Schizosaccharomyces pombe: one gene and its partner. Changing the gene in region 1 together with any one later gene gives a genetic interaction. Each region holds a gene or a part of one and is shown on either strand. Other genes may lie near its edges. The genes, in order: spo15 and cam1.

Region 1 (8,289 bases):
TTCTATGATCGGATCTGCTACGATTACAAAAACATATTACTAAAATATGAACTTTTTATTATTTATTATTATTATTATCTTCTAATATGCCTATCACCCCATTTCTTTCCGATTAAAAGAATCCGTCCATTTCATGAAAACCCACTCCATTCTTTTGTTTACCGAATAATGATCTCTAGCGAGGCCTAGGGAATTTCGCAGATATCATTCGTTATATCGCCAACATCGAGTGTGCTTCCATCGCCAACGTACTAAAACTTCGGTGCTAGCATAGCTCACATCAACAAGGTAGTCAAAGGTGCAAAGTGAAGAGAACATAATAGATTGTTCCGCGCAAAGTACCTAGGTTGCCCGAAAAAACTAAGACATTACAATTTGCATGGTTTCAAAAAAGAAATTTTTTGGTTTTTATCGATCTGGGCATATTTTGAGTATTTGAAACGCATTACCGTTATCCGGCCTTTTTTGATAGCAATTCGTAAAACAAACTCGGCAATGAATGCTGAAAGTTGCTCCTTAATTCTTTCCTATATCTCTTCTGCACCTGCGGGCAATCTAGTATTGAATTGCACTGCTACCACAAACAAGCAAACCCTCGAGGCAAACTTAAAGTCCGCTGTTTATCAAAGGTACCCAGAGTTTCTAGAAGATTGGACGAATGTATGCGTGCATATAATTCATTCCTACTTTCCAAAAGATGCTGATTATTGGAATGTCGACAAATTATATACATCGGTGAACCGAATTACCACACTCGAACAAAGTAAAGTTGTTGGGAAAGAAATAAAAAATGGCTTCACTTTTGATGCTGAAAATTCAACCGCTTCATTGGAAAATGGTAAGTTAAAATGAAAATGTTTTTCTTTTCTTTTTATTTTTTTTTTATTTATAGACTTTACTAATTTAGTCAAGATTTACAACCACAATTCAGGTCACACGCTTTGTTTATGGTCGGTTCTGCTGGTCCTTTGTTCAGTTCTACTGCTCGAACTTCCCGATTAGACAGTCGATTACCAGATGGAGGAATAATTGCAAAGCCAGTTGCCCTTTTGCCAACTCCATCCGTTGCTAATTCCCAAGAGTACACCTTGGATAAGTTATCCCCCCCCTCAACCGCCAAACCTCCTGCATCAGTTATAGAATTTAATCCTTCATTGGCTAAACTTCCTACTGTGAAGTACCTACAGTCTGGCCCCTTCTCCTCAATTGCTCCTTACAAAAATTCATCTTCTTCTGTTATTCCTGATTCTTCATTTCATTCTGTTGCTTGTTATCGGGCATCTAGTCATTACAAAGAGGCACCTGTCGAGAAGTCAATCGATATTGACATCATTCAAAACAATTTGAGTCTATTAGAAGAAGACTCATGGACTTCTGTACCTATTCAAGGGGAACTTGTTGAATTGAATAAGTTACTACAGCATCTTCAACTGCTTCAAAATCAAAGAATCACATCTCATAACGTACTCTCCGATGAGGAGCGCCAAATATCTGTGCAAGTACAAAACTTGATACTTAAGTTAGCAAAAGATTACGATATGTCTCCAGAAGATTTTCTTATGGACGATTTTACTCTTTCACTCACTCAATATGGCGCCTTTTATCGTGGAACTCTTCCTCTTAGTGCACAACCGCTGGAGCTTCCTTCACAGCAACTGCTACGCTCCCAGTCCAATGCTGCTTTACGGAGCAATTCCCTATCAATGAACGGCTCCTTAAGTCCAAGCTCTACAAATGTTCCTTTACAGTCTTATCGACGGACTACAAAATCACGTAGATGAATTCGTTCTCTATTTCCATGGTGTTACTTAAAGATTTTAGTTTAACTAATTAATAGATGTATATACATACATATATATATATATATTACCTTATTTATATCTCAATATATTGATGTATTTTTGAAACTTTTTTGTTCAACCACCCAAAAGCTAAATACCGATAAAACATGCCGATACCTTATCACTATTGCTTTGTTGCTTCAGAGAGTTGTCATTTCTAAACAACCCAAATCGTTTATTTACCAACGACAGATGTCGAATCAGTCGTCTTCTGGTTCGAATACTTCTGATTTGGATGAAGAATCAGCGAGTAGTCTTGTGAGCTCTGCTGCATCACCATTTATTGATTCTGATCTCGAAACACCAAGACCCAATATTTCAAGAGCTTCAACAGGACAACTTGCAGAAGACGGTGACACATCAAGTCAACATGAAGATTCCTCAGAGGAGTTAAAGCGTCAAGAAGTAAGGGGAATGCGTAGGCACAGTGACCTTTCAATTGATGCGAAATTAGGCTCTTCTGAAGGCTCAACTGCTTCTTCAGCATTACCTTTGACACCTCGTTCTCCTTCTAATGCCAGCTGGCTATTAGTCCGCGGTGGTTTACTTGATAGTCCGATTCTCGACATTAACTCAGTAACTCAAAAATCCAACCTTTTAAATGAGTTGAAGCAAGTGCGGTCCAAACTGGCTGCCCTTGAACATGAAAACGGAATTCTCTCCTTGCAATTGTCATCTTCGAATAAAAAGGATAAGAATACCTCAAGTGTAACCACGTTAACATCAGAGGAAGACGTGTCATATTTTCAAAAAAAGCTCACTAACATGGAGTCAAATTTTTCTGCTAAACAATCTGAAGCGTACGATTTATCGCGACAGTTATTAACGGTTACGGAAAAATTAGATAAAAAAGAAAAGGATTACGAAAAAATAAAAGAAGATGTTTCTTCTATCAAGGCCTCTTTAGCAGAAGAGCAAGCTTCTAACAAGTCCCTGCGTGGTGAGCAAGAGCGATTAGAAAAACTTCTTGTAAGCTCCAATAAAACTGTTAGTACCTTAAGACAAACAGAAAACTCATTGCGCGCCGAATGTAAAACCTTGCAAGAAAAGTTGGAGAAATGCGCCATCAATGAGGAAGATTCCAAATTGCTGGAAGAACTTAAGCATAATGTCGCCAATTATTCAGATGCCATAGTACACAAGGATAAGTTAATTGAAGATTTAAGTACCAGAATAAGCGAGTTTGATAATTTAAAATCTGAACGGGACACGTTGTCAATAAAAAACGAGAAGCTAGAAAAGTTACTACGTAATACGATTGGCAGCCTAAAAGACTCACGAACCTCCAATTCTCAATTGGAAGAGGAAATGGTTGAGTTGAAAGAATCCAATCGTACTATCCATTCGCAATTGACTGATGCTGAATCTAAGCTTTCTTCTTTTGAACAGGAAAATAAATCACTGAAAGGATCTATTGACGAGTACCAAAATAATCTTTCTTCGAAGGATAAAATGGTTAAACAAGTTTCTTCCCAATTGGAAGAAGCTCGTTCTTCCCTTGCCCACGCGACTGGTAAATTAGCAGAGATAAATTCCGAGCGAGATTTTCAAAATAAAAAAATAAAAGATTTTGAAAAGATAGAGCAGGACTTGCGTGCTTGTTTGAATTCCTCATCCAATGAACTGAAGGAAAAATCAGCGTTGATTGACAAAAAAGATCAAGAGTTAAATAATTTGAGGGAGCAGATTAAAGAACAGAAAAAAGTTTCTGAAAGTACTCAATCAAGCCTTCAGTCTTTGCAACGTGATATTTTAAATGAAAAGAAAAAACATGAAGTTTATGAAAGTCAATTAAACGAACTGAAGGGTGAATTACAAACGGAAATTTCAAATTCTGAACACCTATCCTCCCAACTCTCAACTTTGGCGGCTGAGAAAGAGGCAGCTGTGGCTACCAATAATGAACTTTCCGAAAGTAAAAACTCACTTCAGACATTGTGCAATGCTTTTCAAGAAAAGCTTGCAAAATCGGTTATGCAATTGAAAGAGAATGAGCAAAACTTTTCTTCCCTGGATACTTCATTTAAAAAACTCAATGAAAGTCACCAAGAATTAGAAAATAACCACCAGACCATAACCAAGCAGCTGAAAGATACTTCTTCAAAACTTCAACAGCTACAATTAGAGCGAGCCAATTTCGAACAAAAAGAATCAACCTTGAGCGACGAAAATAATGATCTGCGAACTAAATTATTAAAGCTCGAGGAGTCCAACAAATCGTTAATTAAGAAACAGGAAGACGTGGATTCTTTAGAGAAAAATATTCAAACATTGAAGGAAGACTTGCGGAAGTCGGAGGAAGCCCTCCGATTTTCCAAATTGGAGGCTAAAAATTTGAGAGAAGTGATAGACAATTTGAAAGGAAAGCATGAGACATTGGAAGCACAGAGAAATGATTTGCATTCTTCTCTTTCTGATGCTAAAAATACGAATGCAATATTGTCGAGTGAACTTACCAAATCATCTGAAGATGTCAAGAGGTTGACTGCCAACGTTGAAACTCTTACACAAGATAGCAAAGCTATGAAGCAAAGTTTTACAAGCCTTGTCAATTCTTATCAGTCAATCTCAAACTTGTACCACGAACTTCGTGATGACCATGTGAATATGCAATCTCAAAATAATACATTGCTTGAATCTGAATCAAAATTGAAGACAGACTGTGAAAATCTCACTCAACAGAACATGACACTCATTGACAATGTTCAGAAACTCATGCATAAACATGTAAATCAAGAATCCAAAGTTTCTGAACTAAAAGAGGTGAATGGAAAGTTATCATTAGATTTGAAGAATCTAAGATCCAGTTTAAATGTTGCTATTTCTGACAATGATCAAATCCTTACCCAACTTGCTGAACTTAGTAAAAATTACGATAGTTTGGAGCAAGAGTCTGCTCAGTTAAATTCCGGTCTGAAATCATTGGAAGCTGAAAAGCAATTGCTACATACAGAAAATGAGGAGCTACATATTCGTTTGGATAAGTTAACTGGCAAGTTAAAAATTGAAGAATCGAAATCCAGTGATCTTGGTAAAAAATTAACTGCACGGCAAGAAGAAATTTCAAACTTGAAAGAAGAAAACATGTCGCAAAGTCAAGCCATAACTTCTGTGAAATCTAAACTTGATGAAACTTTGTCAAAGTCTAGCAAGCTTGAAGCAGATATTGAACACCTGAAAAATAAGGTTTCCGAGGTTGAAGTTGAAAGGAATGCTCTTCTAGCTTCAAATGAACGTTTAATGGACGATTTGAAAAATAATGGTGAAAATATCGCAAGTTTACAAACAGAAATTGAAAAGAAACGTGCCGAAAATGATGATTTGCAGTCAAAACTTTCTGTTGTAAGCTCGGAATACGAAAATTTGCTGTTGATTTCATCCCAAACAAACAAATCTCTTGAAGACAAAACTAACCAATTGAAGTATATTGAAAAGAACGTTCAAAAGTTATTGGATGAAAAGGATCAAAGGAATGTCGAGTTGGAAGAACTAACCTCCAAATATGGCAAACTTGGCGAAGAAAATGCCCAAATTAAGGATGAGTTACTTGCCTTGAGGAAAAAGAGCAAGAAACAGCATGATCTTTGTGCAAATTTTGTTGATGACCTAAAGGAAAAGAGTGATGCTCTCGAGCAATTGACTAACGAAAAAAATGAGTTAATTGTAAGCCTTGAGCAATCCAATTCTAATAATGAAGCACTCGTTGAAGAAAGGAGTGACTTAGCTAATCGTTTGTCAGACATGAAAAAATCCTTGAGTGATTCAGATAATGTTATATCTGTTATACGTTCTGATCTTGTACGTGTAAATGACGAGTTGGATACTCTTAAGAAGGATAAAGATTCTTTGAGTACTCAATATTCCGAAGTTTGTCAAGATCGTGATGATTTGCTAGACTCTCTGAAGGGTTGTGAAGAGAGTTTCAACAAGTATGCTGTTTCTCTTCGTGAGTTATGTACCAAGTCTGAAATTGATGTTCCGGTATCTGAAATTTTGGACGATAATTTTGTCTTTAATGCTGGAAACTTTAGTGAATTAAGTCGCTTGACTGTTCTGTCTTTGGAAAACTATTTGGACGCTTTCAATCAAGTAAACTTCAAGAAAATGGAATTGGATAATCGATTGACTACTACCGACGCTGAATTCACCAAGGTTGTTGCTGATTTGGAGAAATTGCAACATGAACATGACGATTGGTTAATTCAAAGAGGAGATCTTGAAAAGGCACTGAAGGATAGTGAAAAGAATTTCTTACGGAAAGAAGCCGAGATGACTGAAAATATACATAGCTTAGAAGAAGGCAAAGAGGAAACCAAAAAAGAAATAGCTGAATTGTCCTCAAGGCTTGAAGACAACCAACTTGCTACAAATAAGCTGAAAAATCAACTTGATCATTTAAATCAAGAAATTCGCCTGAAAGAAGACGTTTTAAAGGAGAAAGAAAGTTTAATCATTTCATTGGAAGAAAGTTTAAGTAACCAAAGACAGAAAGAAAGCTCTTTGCTGGATGCTAAAAACGAGTTGGAACATATGCTGGACGATACGTCGCGTAAGAATTCTTCATTAATGGAAAAGATTGAATCGATTAATTCTTCTTTGGATGATAAGAGTTTTGAGCTCGCTTCGGCTGTTGAGAAGCTTGGTGCCCTGCAAAAGCTTCACAGTGAGTCTCTTTCTTTAATGGAAAACATCAAGTCACAGCTACAAGAGGCAAAGGAAAAGATTCAAGTAGATGAATCAACTATTCAAGAGCTCGATCATGAAATTACTGCTTCTAAAAATAATTATGAAGGAAAACTAAATGATAAAGATTCAATTATTAGAGATTTATCTGAGAATATTGAACAATTGAATAACTTGCTTGCAGAGGAAAAGTCTGCTGTAAAAAGGCTGTCTACCGAAAAAGAATCAGAAATTTTGCAGTTCAACAGCCGCTTGGCAGATTTGGAGTACCATAAATCTCAAGTTGAGTCAGAATTAGGTCGTAGTAAATTGAAGCTGGCTTCAACAACGGAAGAATTGCAATTGGCTGAAAACGAACGATTATCCTTAACCACCCGAATGTTAGATCTTCAAAACCAAGTCAAAGACCTTTCTAATATAAAAGACAGTCTAAGCGAGGATCTAAGAACGTTACGATCGTTAGAAGATTCTGTAGCAAGTTTACAAAAAGAATGCAAGATAAAATCTAATACGGTTGAATCATTGCAAGATGTATTAACAAGCGTACAAGCCCGTAACGCCGAATTGGAAGATGAAGTTTCTCGTTCAGTGGATAAAATAAGAAGAAGGGATGATCGATGTGAGCATTTAAGTGGAAAACTTAAAAAACTGCATTCTCAGTTAGAGGAACAGCATGAAACTTTCTTTAGAGCTGAACAGCAGCGTATGACACAATTAGGGTTTCTCAAAGAAACAGTGAAAAAGCAAGAGAAGCTTTTGAAAAAACTAAACTTAAGGCAAGAACAGTTAATTCCTCGCTCTTCAATTTTAGTTTACGAATCGTATATTCGTGACATTGAAAAAGAAATTATAGTCTTACAAGAACGTCTAAATGGCATTGAGCTTTCGCAACAACTTCCGAAGGGCTACTTTGGGTATTTCTTCAAAACTAATCGCGTCGAAATGGAAGTGTTGGATAGTTTCAAACAACAAGTCGCTAAATTACAGTTCCTTGCGGGTGCGGAATTCATTGTCAAATTTAAAGAGGATCTTGAAAAATGCGCTGCAGAAGAAAAGGAAAAACAAGCTACATTTGACAATTATTCTGAGAAGGTTGAAAATCTTGGGAAATCGATTGAAGCTTTGTATTTTGCACTAAATCGAGAAATTAGTTTCCGAAAGTCTTTAGCGTTGTCTAAATCAGCATATCACAATCTTTTGGTTCGAGATTCTCCCAAGTTTAACCCAGATTCCCAAATTACTTATAGTATACCGGTTACCAATACCAAGCAGTCATTGTTACGTTCTGCAATATTATGTGTCATATCACTGCAACGTTTGAGATTATTAGGTCAAAGACATTCTTTTTGTGAAGAGGTTATCGAGAACCTCTCTTGTGTTTAAATGATTTACTAACAACTACATGATTGAGGCTATTTTAAGGTTTGCTTCGATAAAAAATAAATTTTAAATTTATTTTTCATTACTATGAAGCATATAATGTTGACTGAGAGATATAATAAAATGGTTTTGGTTAAGGCATTTGTATTATAAAAATTTAAAATCGGTATTGCGGAAAGAATTCTAAAAATAAGGAAAGTTCGCTTTATCGTAGTTTATAGTTTAATTTATCAAATCGCAGAGGCTCACATTAATTAAATAATAAAACCTGTAATATCAACTGACGTTTTCACTTTTTTTATATTCCTTCATCTAGTTGAGCAAATGGAAGAAAACGCACGTAGAATTACAGCGGAAGATGCGATTCGCCTTGTTCTACACGATG
Region 2 (4,222 bases), 820 kb from region 1:
AGCTTGGAAAGCTGCATAGTCGGCTTTTGTTTTGAGTTGTCGTTGATCAGCTTGCTTGGAGCGGTTTGCACTTGCTGAGTTTTTATCAACGATGTCAAACAAGTCCATGGCATTTGCCAAGTCAGAGTCAATTTCGGCTTGTCGCATAGCTTCTTTGGAACTTTCTAGTGATTCTTCCTTCGCAGCTGCTTCACTTGCTTTAATGGCTTTTTCGAAATTTCTTTCCTGAATTTTTTGTTGGATACGAGTCATTTTGTTAGAGCCTTGATCATTTTGGCTAGATGAAGAGGATTTTTGGGATACTGAATGAGAATCATTTTGCAAGGATTCTTTGTTTTCTTCTTCATCTTCATCCTCTTCGTCGTCAAATCTCTTTTTTGGCTTGGAAGAGGATTGACTATCCTTCCCTAAGGGGAAATCAAACTCTGCAGGCTTTGCAGGATCTTCTACTAAAAAGTCCTCTTCATTTCAGTTAATAAACATGTAGAATCATATATAGCTTACCCCAGCTATCCATTTGGAATTCACTTGATGGTTTTTACAGTCTACTAAAAAGGTATGTGGTTCAATAAGGAATTTATTGTAGTTGCACAACAAAATTACGAGATGAATTGAGTAGGAAAATATTCAAACACACGTACTGATAGAGTTCAACAATAAATACTTTAAATTCTCGATCATTCTTATTATTTTATTTTTTATATGTTTATTTTTATTTTTATTTTTTTATTTTTTTTCTATGAAGGATATGAGTACCTCGAATTATTAAAAGTTAAACTTCCCATTTCACAGCATTTTATTAAATCAATTGAGATTTATAAATTTGAATCTTTTAAGGAATTATACTCAAATTTTCATGGTCATTCTGTAGAGATGTCTTTAAACAGGAAGTGCAAAAATTTAAAATTATGAGAATAAACTATAAAATCTTTAAAAACAAAAGACGTCTAAATTTATGATTATTAAAGACAAAAAAATGCTCAATTTGAATTTATTTTTTTATTTTTTTTTGTGTTACATCAATAACAACAAATATTGTTTATTCGATTAAAATATCCGTTCAGACTAAAATCAATAAATTCGGCTACGGTCATTGTATCAGATGTTGAGGTTCTGGATTTTTATACATTGAATAAATCATTTAGAAAAGAATTAATATCGAAATATATACAGGCAATGAAATCCTGCTTGAATAATATATTGTTATTTACTTTTTCAGTTTTCCTTCTTCATTTGAGTGTTCAACTAGAAAAATTATCAGATCAAAATTGGCATATACAAAAAATACAAAAGCAGATTATGCTACACAACAAAAATGCAATTCATAATAAACGTGCAAAAAAACCTTTTAATGAACTGCACTTATCAAAAATGCTTTTGTTTAGCAAATTTTTCAAAGCTATGTCATTTTGCTCAATTATTTGGAGACTTTAAACCGTGACAGTGTTTGTAAATCTGCTCAATAATTAATTTTCCATAAATCAAAATGAAAACAATATTTTCATATCATGAATAATAATATCACTAACTCAACCTCATAGAGGAAAGTGAAAAACACGATTTTCTGTTTACATTCAGCAAAAAATTGCGCTGTAATAACCATTTCCAAATACTGCATTTACAAATATTTTTTGTTAAATCCTTTTGCGATTTAAACATCGAGTACGATATATAAGTTGAATGTCGACAACGTTCCGTTGCGCTATAGCATACTACGTTGTGTATCACTAATTATCACATGTTTGATTTGCTCTGTCAAGCTGTACATGATAAGTTACTTAGGTAGATTACTAAGAGTTATAAAATGAATAACAAAAAAAATAATAGAATGCTTAAATTTTATGAATTGAAATAAACAAAACCTCGTTTCTCTATTCACTTTTATGCTAATTCGGTGATAGGTAACAATATAACCTCTATATCAGAATATCATTCTAAGTTACTAAATGTATTTACCTGTGTACCATAATACAATAGGTCACAAGTAAACCACACGGCAGTTCTAGGTGTCGTTAAATAGATACCAATAAATGCGTAGCTGACATTGAAAAAGTTCCTTCATCCGCCGTTTAGTGGTTTTAGTGCGGTTTATAGCAAGTACGTTACTGGTTTGTTAGAGCATATACGATAATGTAATAAACTCTCATTGTTTGTTGACATCACTGTTGATGGTAGGACTTGCAACATTAGGAAGCGACAACGGTAGTCCTCATTTCTCCAAGGCACTTTAACGTAACTAGAGCAAAACACTAACCGCCAAAAATAAAGGTTAAAAAAAGGAATAGAAGGACTTTAGAGTTACTGATTTTTACCAGAAAATGGTATGTTTATTATATTGTTTGGACATATTCCGATTTTTCCTTTGAAGATTGACTAACAATCGTATGAACGGATGACACTCAGAAAATGATTTCTGAAGTCGTCTACCGTATCGTACATTATTACAGACTACCCGTAACCTTACAGATGAGCAGATTGCAGAATTCCGTGAAGCCTTTTCACTGTTTGATCGTGATCAGGATGGAAATATCACGTCCAATGAATTGGGTGTAGTTATGAGATCGTTAGGTCAATCGCCTACTGCCGCCGAATTACAAGATATGATTAATGAGGTCGATGCCGATGGTAATGGCACAATTGATTTTACCGAATTTTTGACTATGATGGCCCGAAAAATGAAGGATACCGACAACGAAGAGGAAGTTCGCGAAGCCTTTAAAGTCTTCGATAAAGATGGAAATGGATACATTACAGTCGAGGAGTTGACTCATGTGCTTACAAGTCTTGGTGAACGTTTGTCTCAAGAAGAAGTAGCCGATATGATACGTGAAGCCGACACCGATGGCGATGGTGTAATCAACTACGAAGAATTCTCTCGTGTCATTTCTTCCAAGTAGAAGGGTTGGAATTTCTGTGGAATATTTGTAAGCCTTAAAAAAATCAAAATATCCTTGCTGGGGTTTCCACCCTTTTAGTTCTTCTTTATAACCACTCTCCATCGCAATTTGGACAATCTCTTTACCAACTTAACCTCGGCTATTGTCCTTTACTTTTTTTTTCGTCTATGATTTTGAAAAACATTAGTTAGTGTATTACAACGTTTTGGTTGTTTATTTTGCTGGCCTAGGTGTGTCACAAAAGTAACTATGGTAGCATTTGTTGTTACCATTCATCTCATGATCGATCCTATGAATTTTAACGCTTCCTTTGTTTCAACACATAAAGGAATCCTTAAGTCTGGGAACATATACGTTATTGCTATGAGAATACCACGCACTTTTGCATTATTGCATCCTACAATGAATTATTAGAAGCTTCATCTGTCTGTTATATGATGCATTTGCTCGTACTAGTATGTGCCTAGTACTCGCTGTATACGTTGCATTTATGTCCTTGCAATTCCCATGCCCATTATTTAGCTCAATCTTCCTTTTCTTTTTTCCTTCAAGATTTACTGTTCATTATACTAGTCGATGTTAAAATTTTTAGCATTTTTCTAGTTATATGCACTTCTTGAAGCCGTTTTCTCACTCTGGTAGATATACGCTTTGTTTTGTACTTAATACATTACTTTATACAAATACATCTCTCAGTATGAAATTTTGTGCGGCACTTGTCGAAGCTAAGCTATACGTATTAACTAAACATAAATTCATAAATGACATCGTTTATTTTCTTTTTGCATTTCACGTAGTTATTCCGATCGTAAACAGAAATTCATCATTGGAATATGGACATTTCCTAAGAAGGAAGGCTCTGCGCCGGTAAAGTTCAAGTTAGTGAAGTTAAAACTTATCTAAAATTCAACATCATGGTACATATATATTCAAAAAGTTTTTACAAAGTTATCAGTTCTAAACCTCAATGTCCTCCTACTTGCTATTCAAGCCAACCTAACTTCCTCTCACCATCAACCACCCGCTATATGGTTTCGTATATCCCTTCGCCGTCGAAAACTTGTACCTAACTATACGAAATTTTCTTCTTTAAAATTGCCAAAAAAAAAGCTTCGAGTTCTATACTGCGCTGTATTACATAACACTTTGGAATCAAGGGTTAGCAATTACCATAACTAAATTAATTATAGCTCTATGTCGAATGGAAATGATAATTCTCTAATTATCAAAAATATTGGGAATAATGAATTTAAATTTGTAGAAACGCTTCACGAATTATTACCAGAAGATATCACTTATGATGATTTGGGTTCATTACGACTAAG

Evidence for each region.
Region 2: of spo15 (region 1) and cam1, changing one suppresses a phenotype caused by changing the other (phenotypic suppression), as found in Schizosaccharomyces pombe (one study listed by BioGRID).

The regions. Positions count from the first base shown.
Region 1 is NC_003424.3:625,048-633,336, reverse strand, and holds spo15 (mitotic and meiotic spindle pole body protein, gamma tubulin complex linker-related Spo15), read left to right. Parts: upstream 1-1,991; 5' UTR 1,992-2,033; coding exon 2,034-7,907; 3' UTR 7,908-8,164; downstream 8,165-8,289. Other genes in the region: SPOM_SPAC1F3.08C (uncharacterized protein), read left to right, coding at 1-189; RSC complex subunit Rsc58, read left to right, coding at 496-838, 913-1,781; gga21 (adaptin family protein), read right to left, coding at 8,251-8,289. UniProt on the Schizosaccharomyces pombe protein: Has a role in the initiation of spore membrane formation.
Region 2 is NC_003424.3:1,442,612-1,446,833, forward strand, and holds cam1 (calmodulin Cam1), read left to right. Parts: upstream 1-2,238; 5' UTR 2,239-2,318; coding exon 2,319-2,321; intron 2,322-2,447; coding exon 2,448-2,897; 3' UTR 2,898-3,722; downstream 3,723-4,222. Other genes in the region: tif310 (translation initiation factor eIF3j (p35)), read right to left, coding at 1-461, 505-517; GARP complex subunit Vps53, read left to right, coding at 4,092-4,222. UniProt on the Schizosaccharomyces pombe protein: Calmodulin mediates the control of a large number of enzymes, ion channels and other proteins by Ca(2+). Among the enzymes to be stimulated by the calmodulin-Ca(2+) complex are a number of protein kinases and phosphatases.